2 linked regions of the Struthio camelus genome follow. The protein of the gene in region 2 purifies or fractionates together with the protein of the main gene of each other region. This does not show direct contact. Links are inferred from orthologs where the notes say so. Each region holds a gene or a part of one and is shown on either strand. Other genes may lie near its edges.

Evidence for each region.
Region 1: the proteins of CCT7 (region 2) and TUBD1 purify together in Homo sapiens (co-immunoprecipitation; 3 studies listed by BioGRID and IntAct, counting the BioPlex papers as one, with this or other methods). This does not show direct contact. The link is inferred for Struthio camelus from reciprocal best matches to the Homo sapiens genes CCT7 and TUBD1.

What each region holds. Positions count from the first base shown.
Region 1 is NC_090957.1:18,708,562-18,715,695, forward strand, and holds the start of TUBD1 (tubulin delta chain), read right to left. Parts: upstream 3,073-7,134; 5' UTR 3,069-3,072; coding exon of another isoform or gene 2,948-3,068; intron 2,558-2,947; exon of another isoform or gene 2,364-2,557; intron 1,711-2,363; 5' UTR 1,688-1,710; coding exon 1,516-1,687; intron 920-1,515; coding exon 772-919; intron 358-771; coding exon of another isoform or gene 319-357; coding exon 102-318; intron 1-101. Other genes in the region: RPS6KB1 (ribosomal protein S6 kinase beta-1), read left to right, coding at 3,479-3,550, 6,941-6,990. UniProt on the Homo sapiens protein: Acts as a positive regulator of hedgehog signaling and regulates ciliary function.
Region 2 is NC_090945.1:85,476,890-85,484,847, forward strand, and holds the start of CCT7 (T-complex protein 1 subunit eta), read right to left. Parts: upstream 3,100-7,958; 5' UTR 2,982-3,099; coding exon 2,976-2,981; intron 1,162-2,975; coding exon 1,008-1,161; intron 1-1,007. Other genes in the region: PRADC1 (protease-associated domain-containing protein 1), read left to right, coding at 3,335-3,389, 5,498-5,598, 6,218-6,327, 6,732-6,899, 7,485-7,605. UniProt on the Homo sapiens protein: Component of the chaperonin-containing T-complex (TRiC), a molecular chaperone complex that assists the folding of actin, tubulin and other proteins upon ATP hydrolysis.

The sequences.
Region 1 (7,134 bases), on a different chromosome or scaffold from region 2:
TGTTTTTACTTCTAGTAAGGAGTCTTATTTATTTACATTGCTATTCTTTTGTAATCATGATTAAAGTTTTGTAGAATATGTAAGGTACATATGACATTCACCTCACCAGTTCCATATGGCCAGATAACATGGTTTAGTATAAACGAGGCTGGAAAAGCATCCCTTAAACACTGGGTCACAAATGCTCCCAGGCCGGATCCGGTACCACCAGCCATGCTCATTATTGTGAAAAATCCACTGAGACGGTCACATTTCTCTGCTTCTTTTTGTACCAGATTCATGATTACATCTTTGTGTTTAGGCCCGTGAACAGAGTAACTGTTGAATAACAGAGAAGGCAGCAAGACATGGCAGATTCTATTAAAATAAAAGCAATAACATCAACCTATTCATAAAGCACGCTTTTCTTTTTATTAGTTATATAACCTACTATTGTGTCACCAATTCTACCTGTCAGAAACAATCCTCAGCTGTGACATTTGTGTTGTAAAAAAAACAGCTGTTTGTAAAATGTGCTTGTTGTTTTCTCTTTTTTAATAATATTCATCACTCAGTTTTAAAATATTCTTCACTGTGAATGCCAATTTCACGTTGCAAAAAGCAGTCAGAAATTTTGCTATTACACATATTGTTACTCTGTCGTAAAAATAAAACAAGCTAATGTTACAGACTCTGTACTTGCACAGCTGCAATAATACCATTCCTACAGCGTCTAGTCTGCTCATCACCCTCCACAGTTATGTTAGCAAAGCTTGAAATGATTGTTCATACCCATTTGCCCAGTTGTTCCCGGACCCTTGTTTCTGACAGAAGTGTGATCGATCATCATATTTCCAGTAGCCAGACCTGGCAGCTATGGATAAGGTTTGGCTGATTACTTTGGGTTCCATGTCAACAAGCACAGCCCGGGCAACAGGTACTGGAGAGGAAGAAAAATAAAACTAAGAATAATATGCCAGTCTTAGAATTTGTTTACATAAGACAAACAGACAGACAGGCTTGTACCAAGGCCCAAACTGTATTCCTCCCACCCATATAAACTGAACTGTCAACTTCAATGGGACAGTACAGAAAAGTATGGAAAGCAGAACTTGGCAACATTCCAAGTTTCTAGAGCACCACCTATTGTTCCAAAGAGATCTGAACTCCAGAGACCTTTCATGAAAAAAACTATCCCTTTCATAACACAGAACTGGGATTTGATATGACCATGCTCCATGTTATTATCTACATAAATTGGAAAAAAGGAGAGGTTGGAAGGAAAGATTTACGTATAGGTAGCTCAGTTTCCAGCTCTGTTATTGGCATACTTGCTCTGTGGCCTCAGGTGCTTTACTGCACTGTGGTTTTGCCTTTGTAAGTGGCCTCATGAGGACAGATGGTTGTGACAAGTCTTTAAGAATGAAGGCAAAATTCTTCAACCAAAGTAAAAGTGTATGTTATTTCTGTATTCTTAACTATGCTAGGCTAGAAACAAGACCCTCTGTGGGAAACAAAAGTCTTTAAACGCTGTACCTCCAGCTTTCTCCTCACTGAAAAAGCGTTCTTTGCAAGCGTCATGGTATGATTCATTCTCCTTCTTGGAACACAATCCATGCGTGCCATGGACGTCACTGCAGATAGCATTAAACACCTCGTGCCCAATTTGATTACCACACTGACCAAGCTGGACTGTGACTACTGACATTCTTATTCACTTTGTATTTAACCCTAAAAAGGAAAAGCATGCCTTTTAGTTATTCTGGGAAAAAAAAAATTCAGATCAGTTTTGTAACTTTTGCCAACTCTAGTGAGGAGGAAAAGGCTATGCTACAACAACTGCTTGTTCCTGGGGAAATGCTGTCTGTAAGACTTCATCCTGAATGTCAGAAGAATCTCGGTGACCATTTAGAGGAAGCCAGTCTGTTTACTGTTGCTATATATCTTAACAGAACTGAAATCAACCATACAGCAAACAAAGTTAAGTCTCTATTTTCTCACTTTCGCTTAGTAAGGCAGAGTAAAAAATAATCATTAGAAATCCAGCAAAGCCCGAGGATGAGGCTATAAGAACATAATAACTATACTAAGAAAGTACTAGATGCCTTTAGAAATGTGCAGCCCATTTGCAAAGCCAGCTGATTTCCAGTCCTACTGCTGGGGGCCTGATGCCAAAACCAGCTGAAGTGACAAAACCAGCTGAAGCCAAACCAGCTGATGCCAAAACCAGCTGAAGTGACAAAAGAGTCCCCTAGAGCATACTCCTTCCTCCAACCAGAGTGATACTGGCATGCTTGGCCATTTTTCCACTCAGTTTTTTGCTGTAACTCTGGTTTCTCACTTTTTTCTTTTTCCACAAAGACAAGGTCAATATTTGAACTCACTTCATTATTCTGGGCTGCTATTTGTCATTATCGTCCCAGCTGTGCCACAGCACATCTGTAACGGCGTTCTTGGGATAACCACCAGCTCCTGTAATTCGATCCTGCCGCACTTTGTAGGCAGGTATGTGTTTTTTGGTTTTGTTTTTGCTTTTGTTTTTGCTTCCTATGCTGGATTTCAGCGTTTCTGCTAGTCCGCACCTCCCCCCTTTAAAGCCAGGCCGCGTATCAGAGTTACTCCTCGCGGCAGGAAATAAATAAAGCTGTACACGAGCTTCCGAAAATGCTCCAGGTGCGGCCGGAGGGCAGCCCCGGCTCCCCGGCCGCCCGCGCCCAGCGTCGGCACCGCGCCCCGGGGGGCGCCCGCCCGCCGCCTCACGCCACAGGCCGGGGCCGCCATGTCGCCGCTGCTGCCCACCTCGCGCCGCCACCTCTCCCCTTCCAAAGCCGCTTCATCCTCGACGACCCCCGCCCGCCCGCGCCTGCCCGCGGGCACAGCGGCCCTCCCCAGGGTGCTGGTCCCCCCGGCCCGGACAGGGCCGGCCGCCCTCGGCCCCGCTCGGCCCCTAGCTCCCCTCAGGGCTGACCTCGACACCCCCCGCTGAGGCGCTCGGGGGGGGGCGCCCGACAGCGCATGCGCGAGCCCCTTCCTGCACGAGCCCTCCGCTTCGGCCCGACACGCGCCTTCGAACAACCCGCTTCGCGCATGCTCAGAGGGAACTTCGGGCAGGTCGGGGCGAGGGTCAGACGGGCGGGCTTCACGGAGCGCAGTACGCATGCTCGCAGCGAAAGGCCGCCTCTTGCCCTCTGCGCACGCTCCGTGCCAGGCTCAAGGGAGTTGGAGCGCGTGCTGCGCATGCTCCGCTCCGGCCCCGAGGGCTGTCACCCAGCGGGGTGCCCACTGAGCATGCTCAATGCGGCCCCTCACCAATGCCGGGTGACGCAGTGCGCCTGCGCGGCGCCGGGAGTCGGGGCGGGGGCGCAGGCGCGCTGAGGCCTGGCAGCCGGTGATGGCGGCCGTGGTAGAGTTGGGGGGTGCGGGCCCATGAGGCGGCCCAGGCCCCGCGCACTCAGCACAGCGAGGAAGGGGCGGCGGCGCCGCTGCTCACACCCGCGCCATGGCGGGCGTCTTCGACATCGACCTGGACCAGCCCGAGGACGCGGCTTCGGACGAGGAGCTGGAGGAGGGGGTGAGAGGGGGGAACCCGCGCCGCGGCGGGAGCGGGAGGAGGCCGCCGCGGGGCGCGGCGCCGGGGCAGGCCTGAGGGCAGCGGGCGCGGCGGCCGCCCGAGGCCGCTCCCGGGGGCCGGGCGGGCGGGTGGGAGGGAGGGAGCGCGACGCCGGCCGCCGCCGCGGCCCGCGCAGGTGAGGAGACCGCGCCCTGTCCCGGCCGCGCCGCGCCGCCCTGTCAGCGCCGCCGGTGGGAGGCTCCGCGCCGGCCCGGCTTCGCCGCGGCTCCCAGGCGGCGGGAGCGGCAGGTGCCGGCCGCAGCCAGGCACCGGGCTGCAGGCGGCTCCCGGCCGGGGCTCCCCGCCGGTGGGGGCCGCGCCAAACTCGCAGGAGCTTTATTCCCCCCCACACCCCCTACCCACAAAAGTTTGTTTTTGGATTTTCTAGCACAACGGTGTCGCAGTAAGGGTCTTGTGGTTTTTTTTTTTTTTTTGCTTTTTCTTCTTTTTTTTCTCGTCACGTTTTAACGGCAGTGCAGAAATGCTGATCGTTCTGGAACTGTAGAAAGCCCTTGCTCTAGCGCCAAAATTAAATGCGGAGCGTTCAAGTGCTGTGCTAGACGCCTATGCAGATCAGCGCGCCTCCCCATCTCAACGCTTTTCTTGCACAGTTCACCTTGTAACTCGTACTTCGTCGTTTTAGTGTTTCATACAGATTCTGTTAAGGCTTTGGGGGAATTTTATTACAGCATTTCTGTTTCTATTTTTCTAGTGCTACTGTGGCTTTTTATATCATTCTGTATGTTAAAGTTTTGGTATTGCTTAAAGTGTTATTGCATTCATTTTATGCTGTGTAAATCTTAATGACGTACTTAGAATCTCTGAGATAACCCAGTGCTCTGTATCACAGTTGGAGTATGTACACTGTACGTATAAACTGCGGAGATATTATTTGACAATGGAAGGCACATAGTTTCTCGACTTGTAGGAGAAAACACTATCTGTGACCTCAGTAATCAATAAAGTACCTAGCTTAAAAAAAAGTCACCTGCATCACACTGTTAATGTTGCCAAGAACAGGTTCTAAGGGGGACTGCAAGAAAAGTGAATTAATTCTCCCTCATGTTCCAATAATTCAGTCTTAAAGTGTAACTCTGAGGAATGATTTAAAGATTTCATTAGTTATTGTGAACTTTAAAAAAAAAAAAAAATATTTGTAGCACAACTTCTATGAATATGAACGTTCATTGGCGACCTGACTCGGTTCTCGGATGGCACAAAAAATGAATGTTTGCCTGTGATAGCCACATTCAATGTTACATGCTTGCTTCTAGTGTTTGGAGAAATGTCAGTAAAATAAAATCAGCAGAGGAATTAGGTGTTTGGAAAACAGATAAGGAAAAATTAGAATGGACCTAAAATTAAAACAGAACCAGAAAGCAGAGACTATAAGAGCAGGAAAGAAGGGGAAGCATCAGAAAAGTGTTCTGGGAAAAACGTTTAGCAGAAATCTATGTCTACAGGCATTGTGCATGTCTTTCAAGGGTCAGAAAGACATTGCAGACTGAGAGGTTGAGATCATTAAATTCAAAGTGAGCAAGGTGTAAAATCAGGCTTATCTAGTCTAGTCTGCCCAGAGCTGGGCCTTTGCAGCTCCTGAAAACTGTAACCCTCGTAGCCTCAAGGACAGAGCAGTTGTAGTTTTACACAGGCATGGCTATTCTAGAGCAACTAGAAGTAAAACTAGAAGTAAAAACAAGTATTTAGGTGGAGAGTTTACTTGTAAGTGATATGGTTGTTTGCACTAGTTATTACAGTGAATAAAACCTTTATGTTTTTGTTTGTACTAAATGAAAGAATAACTACAAACTGAAGGGTTTCTAGCCAGCATACCATTTCATTTCTTGGTTTTGTTAAACAACAAGAGAAAAAGTCCTTGCAAATAACGGACCAGTATCTGAAGTGAATTTTGCTTACGTTAGTATTGAGAACGAAAGCAGGGGTAAGAATAGCATGCATAAGCTTTGCCAGAACCAGTGGGTAACTTCAAGAAGGAAAAAAATCTAGAAATGTAATGGATATTTATTCTCCATCTCTGATGAATTTTTGAATTTGGTTTTTGTCATCTAACGGTAGAGTCAAGGGCAGCTTTGGTGTATTTTATTGTGAAACAGATGTCAATAAGCTTGATTTCTCTAATAAATGTTATCAAGAGGACATGAGCTAGCAACTTTCCAACTTGGAAACTGACTTGAACTTTTGGACTCTGTAATTGCTGGTGGTGCTAGTAGGTCGAACCAGAAGTTAAATTCCCCTCCAGCTCACCCACCAAAATATACCAGCCTCTGTAAGCTTTAGTGTTTACTTGGTTTGGAAGCTATTGAAAGTTCATCATTTTCTTTGGCTAGTGTTTTCATTTACATAATATCCAAAAATGTACTCCTTAGCTTAGTCTGCTTTTTGCAGATCTCTGTATGGCTTTTTTCGTCTAGTTCTCTGTGGATTGCACAAGTCATTCATTATATCTGTATCCAGTCCTTAGAGTCCAGACTGTTTCTCACAAACTTGGCAGTCTCTATTTTATGTATATATTTTTAAAAATAAAAATGTAACGCATTAGGAAGCTTACACACTAAATTCTCTTTGTTTTCATTCCAGCTGTCTGCTTGGTTTGCACTTTTTTGCCATGTAGAGTCACAATTAAAGAGGGAGATACTATATCGCATTTCGTAGGAATCAAGTCAAAAATTCTTTTAAGAAAGTATATCTTCAATTGAACTACATTCTTTAACGATGTCTAGTACTTAGGTTGACGTACTGGAGGCTCCTTTATTAATGTTTGCATGCCTTGATCTATCTGAATGATTATTGATCAGTAGAGGCATTTATCATGAGAGTAAAGCTTAGCTATTTTGCTACTATTGACATTAGCTAATCATCAGTATGGAATAGTAAAGCCTTCTCAATCAGTTGTTGGTTTCTGGTTTGCGTGAATACCGATTCCTCTATTTACATAATCTTGATTACTTGATTATAGTTCTAATTTGCATAATACTGTAACAGGAATTTAAAATTCTTATGTGAAAGCAAATGTAAAAAAAAAATTGTAGTACCTTAAAATTTTTCGGGATCCCTGGGGGGAAGGGAATGAAGTTGTTACCTGTTGAGTAACAGTGCAGTCAGGTAAAACAGTGGTTCCCCATGTCATTGAGATACATGGAAATGTCGCACCTCTTCTGCAGAGTTTTGTAGATGTCTTATCTTCTGGTGATAATTCATTATTCTGATGTTTGGACTAATTTAATAATAATAAAAACTAAAAAGTTATAAAACACATCACTACGTTTATTTTTAACACTGCTTTGTTTCTTACATTATAATTAATCTTCCTTTTACCCCTCCCCTCCCCAGGGACAATTAAGTGAGAGCATGGACCACGGAGGACTTGGCCAATATGACCTGTAAGTTGCTGCTAGAAAATGTTCTGTATCATTCATACCAACTACATATAATCTCTAAGTATATCGACATGTTTGTTAAGTTCAACAGAAAATTTTGAGTTGTTCCTAGTTGTTCCACTATTTCTTCACGTTAAAGTTTGTGAA
Region 2 (7,958 bases):
TACTCCACATTTGGAGCAGATAAAGTGAAGTCTGTCTAAGTACAGAACTACTCATATCAGTTAACAGGAGCTTTACATTCATCCCCTCTCATTTCTCAATAGCCTCCCCATGCAGATTAAAAATTATATGTATATATATACACATCTCTCTCAGATATTCTAGTCTGACACATGACTGAAAAGTGCTAGAAATCAACAGAATTAGTTATTAAGCTAAAATAAAACTTCAGTGATCCTTTTTAAAACAAATAACTGCTTTTACAGATAGGACCTGTAATACAAGGACAATTCACACAAGAATAAAAAAAAGTGCAAGGAATAGATTAGCGTGGCAACTTAACACAATTCTTCTCAGAGGGGGCTGGGAGCCATCCCCAATTCACCCAAACATCAACCCTAGTAACCCCCATCCACCCCACACTCAGTCATACCAAGAGCTGAGTAACTCTACATGTGTCACGAGCCTCATCTTAAAACAAACCTAGAAAGAGAGGGTCAGGGGTACCCAAAGACTAGCTTCAAAACACACCATTCCTCCTTTCTGGCATGGACTTCTGCCCGTCTAGTCATGCTAACCCTAGATCTATCTAGTACCACAAGAAAGAATTCAGCTACCTTAACTCAGTCTAGTAGGTAACTACCAGGTAGTTTCCTCAAGTAAATCTGTCAATTATTTTTCTTCACCAGCTGCGGCTGGGATCTAGGTTTCAAACTGAACATTGATGCAGAAACTGAACCTCTGTATTATGAGAGTTGAGAATAGCAAGCGGCAACGAAGCTGAAGTCTGTATATATGCAAATACTGTTTTAATTAATATGAAGGTATGAATCAAATTTCACTGCAGAATTCCCATGAACAGTACAACATCCAAGTCCGTTTGTTTGCATTCTGCATGCTCTAGCCCCTGGCTGCAAAAAAACACGTGCCAGCAGTGTGCGTTACACTTGGAGATTATTTCCGAGTCACGTTTCTACATAGCCGTGAAAAGCTGTCACCCAGCGCTTACCTCTGTCATCCACAATGAGCTTGTCCATGCCCCTGGGTCCTAGGGTAGTGCGCACAGCTTCTGCGATAACCTGGCAGGCATTGATGTTACTGACGAGCTGGGGGATCCCCTGTGAGGTGTCCGTGCCCTCCTTCAGCAGGATAACGGGTGTTGGCTGAAGAGACAAACCACAGCAGAGCTGTAACTCCAATCTCAGACAGCCCAGTGCTAACTCTGCAGGCAGCCCAGCAAGTTATCGCTGCTCAAAAAGGTATTTTTCCCCTATGCAAGAAACTAGCTGCACAACAGCTCTCTCACTCCCAAGACCAAAAACTGCAGTTCCCTCAAAGGCCTGGTGGCAAAAATAAAACAAAAAAAATCCCAATCCCTAAGCATCTTGCTTTACTGAGCTTATTGACCCGCCTAGAGCTTCAAAGTAAGACTGTGACTACAAAAAAACCTGAGAGAGAGAAGGCCACAAACTGCCACTGTTACACAAAGCAATTCCTCTAAAAGTTTACTTCCACGTTCTCAAGCATTCCGTGTTTGTTTGAAGTTTTATCTTGACTGAACTCCTGTAGCTTCAAAGAAATGTACTAGAGCACTTTTCCATGAAAGGCTGAAGGTTCAACTTTACCTAGAAAGCATTACGGATGCAGTCAAACCGCTCCAAGGCAAGGTGTCACTTGCTTCTATAAAGTAACTGGAATCTACCCAACTGCTTCTGTTTGTATGCCCTTGGACTGTATTGTAACTGTCCACAAAACAAGCGGGCTTCTTTCCCCATCATATAGCTCAGAGAAGGTCTAATTTCTGTGCTACGCTTGATCTCTACACCATAAGAGACAGTATGTGTAATAATTACTGAGGCAGCAGGGAACTGCACAAGCTACAACCCAGATGAGTTACTTAAGTCTCCTAAGATGTACAGCACAACAGGCGCAAGAGCTCTCAGATCACAGTCCAAGCTACCCCAAGGATGGCAACTGCTGCAACGCACCTCCCTGCTCGCAGAGGAAACAGGGGGGATGAACACAAGTGACTGCACCTGCCTGACAGTAAACTGAACTGGACACAGCTTAGAAATACAAGCAAAGCCTACAAGATTTCAAAGGCCACGGCAAACAGCTCTTTGCTGTGCTCCAAGAGCGCAGCAGCCCTTTTCAGGATTTCTAGGAAACGGACTAAACGTGCCTTAAAGACAAAGCTCAAAATCCACACGAACCAGAAGCTTCTTCGGCGCTCAGTTTTAAAGAGCCATCTGCAGCAGAGAGCAAAACCGTACGATGACCGTTGTGCTAAAGAGCAACAAGACCGGAGCCGAGGGCCTGACGGGCGAGCGGAAGACGGGCGCGAGCACCGCAGCCAGAGCTACCTAAGCCTTGGCAAGCTCCCGAACAGAAATCTAAAGGGAACAGAGTCGATTGCATCCTAGGGAAAATCAGGTTAGAGGCAGACACGCAACCCTCGTGGAGCAGCACCGGCAGGGCACAGGCAGGACTCAGCACGGACCGGGGCAGCACCGGGTCCCTCCACGCCCCGAAGCGGGCTGCCGAGCTCAGGCCCCGACTTGAGGCCCCGGGGCGCCACGTACCGCCCGCTCCGGCCTACAACTCCCAGCATGGGCCGCTCTGAGCCCCGACCCCAGCCCGGTGGGCTCGGCTCCGGGCCCCAGGGCCGGGACACCACCCTTGTACACGCGCCGACAGACTACAGCTCCCGGCCTGCCCCGCGCGCCCCGCTCCCTTTCAGCCGCGGCGCTCGCCGCGCAAAGCCTGATGGGAGCGGTAGTCCCGCGGCAGCCCGGCGGCAACCGCGGGCCACTCACGGGCCCGGCTGGTCCCCTCACAAGACAGCGGCGGGGCCGCCCTCACCGGGGGCTGAACCCGCGCCGGCCCCGTTACTAACCCCCGCCAGCAACGGCCCCCGGGGGCGGAGGAGGCCGCTGCCAGGCAGAGGATGGCGGCGGATGAGGCGGGCGCCACTCACCATCATCTCGGCGGCTCTCCCCCGGCGCAGCCAGGCCCTGCTCCCACAATGCCCCGCGCCCGCCCAGAAGCTTCCCGAGGGCGGGAGGGGAAGAGAGCGTTGCTAGGTAACCGCTTCCGGCCGCACTCCATGGTGAGGCCGTAGACAGAGCCGCCCGAGCGAGGCTCCCTTCCTTCGCGAGAAACCATAGAGAGGCAGCAACGTGCGGCGGCGCGGCGGCCCGCAGCTCACTAGATGGCAGGGGCGGGATTGACGGCGGCGTTGGCCAATGGGCGCGCGCGGCGCGGGGGGGCGCCGCCAATGGGCGCGGCGCGGAGGCGGGGGCGGGGGAGCGGCGCGGCGCGGCGCGGGGCGCAGCCATGCTCCGCCGCTCGCTCTGGCTCTGCCTCTGCCTCTGCTCCTGCCCGGCCCGCGGTGAGTCCGGCCCGCGGTCGCTTCCCCCCGCGCCGCCCGTCCGCCTGCCCTGCGCCCGGGTGCATTTCCCTCTCGGGCACCCTTATCCGGGTGCCTTTCCCCTCCGTGCATCCCGGTCTGGGTGCCTTTCCCCTTGTGCATCCCAATCTGGGTGCATTTCCTCTCCGTGCATCCCGGTCTGGGTGCATTTCCCCTTGTGCATCCCAATCTGGGTGCATTTCCTCTCCGTGCATCCCGGTCTGGGTGCATTTCCCCTTGTGCATCCCAATCTGGGTGCATTTCCCCTCCGTGCATCCCGGTCTGGGTGCCTTTCCCCTTGTGCATCCCAATCTGGGTGCATTTCCTCTCCGTGCATCCCGGTCTGGGTGCCTTTCCCCTTGTGCATCCCAATCTGGGTGCATTTTCCCTCCGTGCATCCCGGTCTGGGTGCATTTCCCTTCCCAGCACCTTCGATCTGGGTGCATTTCCCCCTGGAACACCCCAATCTAGGTGCATTTCCCCTCCATGCATCTCGATCCGGGTGCATTTCCTCTTGATGCACTTCGATCCGGGTGCATTTCTTCTTGATGCACTTCGATCCGGGTGCATTTCCCCTTGGGCATCCTGAACTGGATGCATTTCCCCACTGTGCGTCCCTGTCTCCGTGCATTTCTCCTCCTGGCACCTCCTTCCGGGGGCATTTCCCCTCCATGCATCCAAGTCCGGATGCATTTTCCCCTCCTGACAACTCGATCCAGGTCCATCTTCCCTTGAGGCATCCTAATTTGGATGCATTTCCATTCCATGCATCCCAGTCTGGGTGCATTTCCCCTCCATGCACCCAGGTTCAGGTGCATTTCTCCTCCTGACACCTCGATCCGGGTGCATTTCCCCTCTGTTCTCCCCAGTCCAGGTGCATTTCACCCCTAGCCCCTCCATGATCCGAGTGCATTTTCTCCCTTTCCCCTCCGTGCACCCCGATCCAGGTGCATTTATCCTTGGGACATCCCACACTGGGTGCATTTGCCCTTGAGGCACTTGGGTCCGGGTGCATTTCACCTACCCAGCGCCGTGATCAAATGCACTTCACTCCTGTCCCCTAGGAGATCCGGGTTCATTTCCCCTTTTTGTGCACCCCAGTCTGCATGCATTTCCCCCGTCTCCTCTGTGCACTCCGTTTCTCCTCCCAGCACCTCGATCCGGTATATTTTCCCTTGGGGCACCCCAACCCGGATGCTTTTCCTTGCATGCTCAGGACAGAGCCGCTGGAGGCAGGAAGGCAGCTGGCTCCGGGGTAAGAGGCTGCGGGGAGGCAGCAGAGTCCCCTCGCTCTGCCCTCCGCCAGCAACGCCCCAGCGCCCTTTGCAGGTGTTCGCACGGCCCCGAGGGGCTGCTGGCCCTAAAGCATTCGCTGCCTGGCCCCGACTTTGCATCCTGCCCGAATGTCTCATTTCTTGTGCATCGGCTGCCCAAACAGCGCAGGAGGTCGTGGGCCATCGGCCGAGCTATCCGCCTGCGCGGCGAGGCTTTGCATTTTTTTATCACATAAAATCTTCTTTCCTTATAGAGGGAAATTGAGGCAGGGAGCTGTCTGAATTGCCGGCGGTTTACAGAAGGGGGAAACCCCACGTGAGAGAGGCCCAGGGCGCTGGGTGTCGGGACCAAGCAGTGGTTTAAGATGGGAAAAGGCCCCGGCACGACGCACCCAGCTCCGACAGCAGTGGTTCGGGTCCTCCTCCCGCCGTGGAGCCCGGCACGCAGCCGGCGTTACGCAAGGCTGCAGAGGGAGGTCTCGTGTCGCGCTCGACCCGCAGCAGTGGGCGTTGAGCCGGGTGCCTGGATGAAAGCGTGCCGGGAACTCCCGAAACAATTTCGGTTCCCCGCGGCACTCAGGGCCTTCTGCAGTTCGCAAGCGCTGGTTGTGCAGCAGCTGCAGCCCTGGTGCCAAGGGTCCTTCCCCGGCGCTGCATCTCCGGGCCTGCAAACCGGTGTGAAAATGGGTTAAAAAAAGAGGGTCCCCGGGATGAACCACATCTCAAGGCTGTGACTGCGCGTTCGGCTTGAAATCTCACGGGAGGAGTTTGCCGTTGCCGTTTCTTTGCCTCTCATCTCTCTCCGTGCACGCGCAGGTTTACGCATCCATGAATACTTGTATTTCCAAGTGCTGAGTCCCGGAGACATCCGCTACATCTTCACTGCCACTCCGGCCAAGGATTTTGGGGGAGTGTTTGTAAGTATAAGGACCGGATTTGTCTCGGAGCCCCCCCGTCCCTACATTTCTGCGCTGCGGGGCTGGCTGATGTGAAGCCCTTTACCGAAGTGGAGCTGATTGCACGGGCTTCCTCCGAGAGCTTTGCCCTAGGCAGGAGGCACGCGCCCGTCTCTGCCGTTAGAGGTGCTCCCGTTCGATCTGGGCCATGCGAACGCGTTTCTGCCTCCGCACGCGTTCCCTGGGAGCGTTCGTACGTACGGATGCGTGTCCGCACACGCGTGCGCTCCCGGAGCCCTAAGGGCTCCCCGTCTCCTGCCAAGGGGCTGCCCCAATCCGGGGCAAAGCCCGGGGCTGGGCATCGAGAGCCTCTATCGCCGTTCCCTGCCTCGCACAACTCACCGGATGGTGCCGTGCCGCAGTTTCCCCTCCCCACGGTGATGGGGGCGAGCTATTGAGCGAGGTCTGCGGGTTCCCCTCGGGTGGCTCTGCGGGGTCCCACGGCACATCCCGCGCGGGGACGGGAACAGCAGCTCCCCGGGGGCCCCGAGGACAGGCGCCGCGGGGCTCGCGATGGGAAGCAGCCCCGGCGCCGTGCCGCCGGCCTCCTCGCTCACCCCTGCCTGTCTCTTCCTCGGAGAACACAAGGTACGACCAGATCCACCTGGTCCCGGCGGATCCGCCCGAAGCCTGTGGGGAGCTGAATAATGGGGTCTTCATCCAAGACCAGATCGCCTTGGTGGAGCGGGGGTAGGTCCGGCGCCGCGGGACCTCTTTGGGTGGGGGGCACCCAGGGCAGGAGGGGGCTGCCTGCGGCACGGAGGGTGACGGTGCCACGGTTGTGTTAGCAGCCACGTTTTACCGTCGCCTCCAGCTGCTTCCCCGGGTTGCAAAGCTGTCCCGACAGTCTTTTGGAAAAGAGCCTACGCCAAGCTGGAAAAAGCCTTATTTTGGGGGAGAAAGCAGCCCACCAGCACAGTTTGGGCAGTCCTGTTGCTAAAATCCGGTCTCAAGGATGAAAAGGGCTTGGGGGACGCGCGGTGCCGGGGAGCCAGCCCGCGTCTTGGGCGTCTCCGGGCAAGCTCCGGCACTTGCTGTCTGAGAGGTGCCCGGCTCCCACGTCTGTAGACAACGTTTGTGGCTCTGTGCCCCAGGGGCTGCTCGTTCCTGTCGAAGACGCGCGTGATCCAGGAGCACGGAGGACGGGCGGTGATTATCGCCGATAACGCCTACGATAACGACAGCTTCTATATCGAAATGATCCAGGACAGCACCAGGCGCACAGCGGACATCCCCGCGCTCTTCCTGCTGGGCAGGGACGGGTGGGTATCGTGGCCGAGGGACGTGTCTTCGGGCACGGCGCTGCGGAGGTAGGCGCACGTGGGTTCAGCGGGTTTTAGCCGGCCGGCCGCGAACCTGCTGCGGTGTCCAGGTAGCTGCGTTAGCTCCGTGCGTGCCACAGCTCTCTTAGGAGGCTGGAGGCATCTGGGCTGGCATGAGGCTGGTTCTGAGAGCAGATCTGGTTTGGATGGCCTACCTGCGACCGGCAGGTCTCCGTGCCACCCCGGACGCTGTGCAGCGTTTTCCTGGTGTACATCAGCCTTTCCAAGAGACAGCCTTGCCTTTTGAGATCCAGTTCTGGTCACCCAATGCTCTGATCTTCCCAAGTGTAGAGCATCTCGTGGGAAGGGCCAAGTGACAGCCTTGTCCCCATGAACCAGAGGGGTCCCAGTGAGCCGTGTGTCCTGTCTGGGCTTTGTGAGCCAGATTTTCCATGGATTCAGTCATGCTTAATCCACGGAGTTTCTCCTCGAGTTTATTGGCAGCTTGCGTTAACCCATAACGTTCAGGCTCTGCTCTCCCAGCTCAGGGGCTCACATGCGCCTGTCACCTCTCTGTCCTTCCAGGTACATGATCCGGCGCTCCCTGGAACAGCATGGGCTCCCATGGGCTGTCATCTCCATCCCCGTCAACGTCACCAGCATCCCGACGTATGAAATGATGCAGCCCCCCTGGACCTTCTGGTAGCAGCGGGAGGCCACGGAGCATCGCGGACTTCTCGGTGGATCCCAGGAGCTCGCCCCAGGGACCGGTTTTGAGGAAAGAGCCCCATGCGCTCCCAAAAATCCTGCCGCCAGCCTCGCCGGATCCAGCAGCGGGCAGATCTTCACGCTGCCGCTGGTGTCTGGCCAAATGGCAAATGTCAGCGCCCGCAGCGGGACCTGGACGGTGGCATCGAACAACCTTTGTAGTGACTTTCTGGGAGGGAGGTGATGGCCCAGAGCAGAGAATCAGGCCAGCACTTCCCCGAGAAACATTTTTGTGATGCATACGATGCCAGCAGTAGTTTGTGCTGTCAATTTAGAGCGATGCAGTATTAT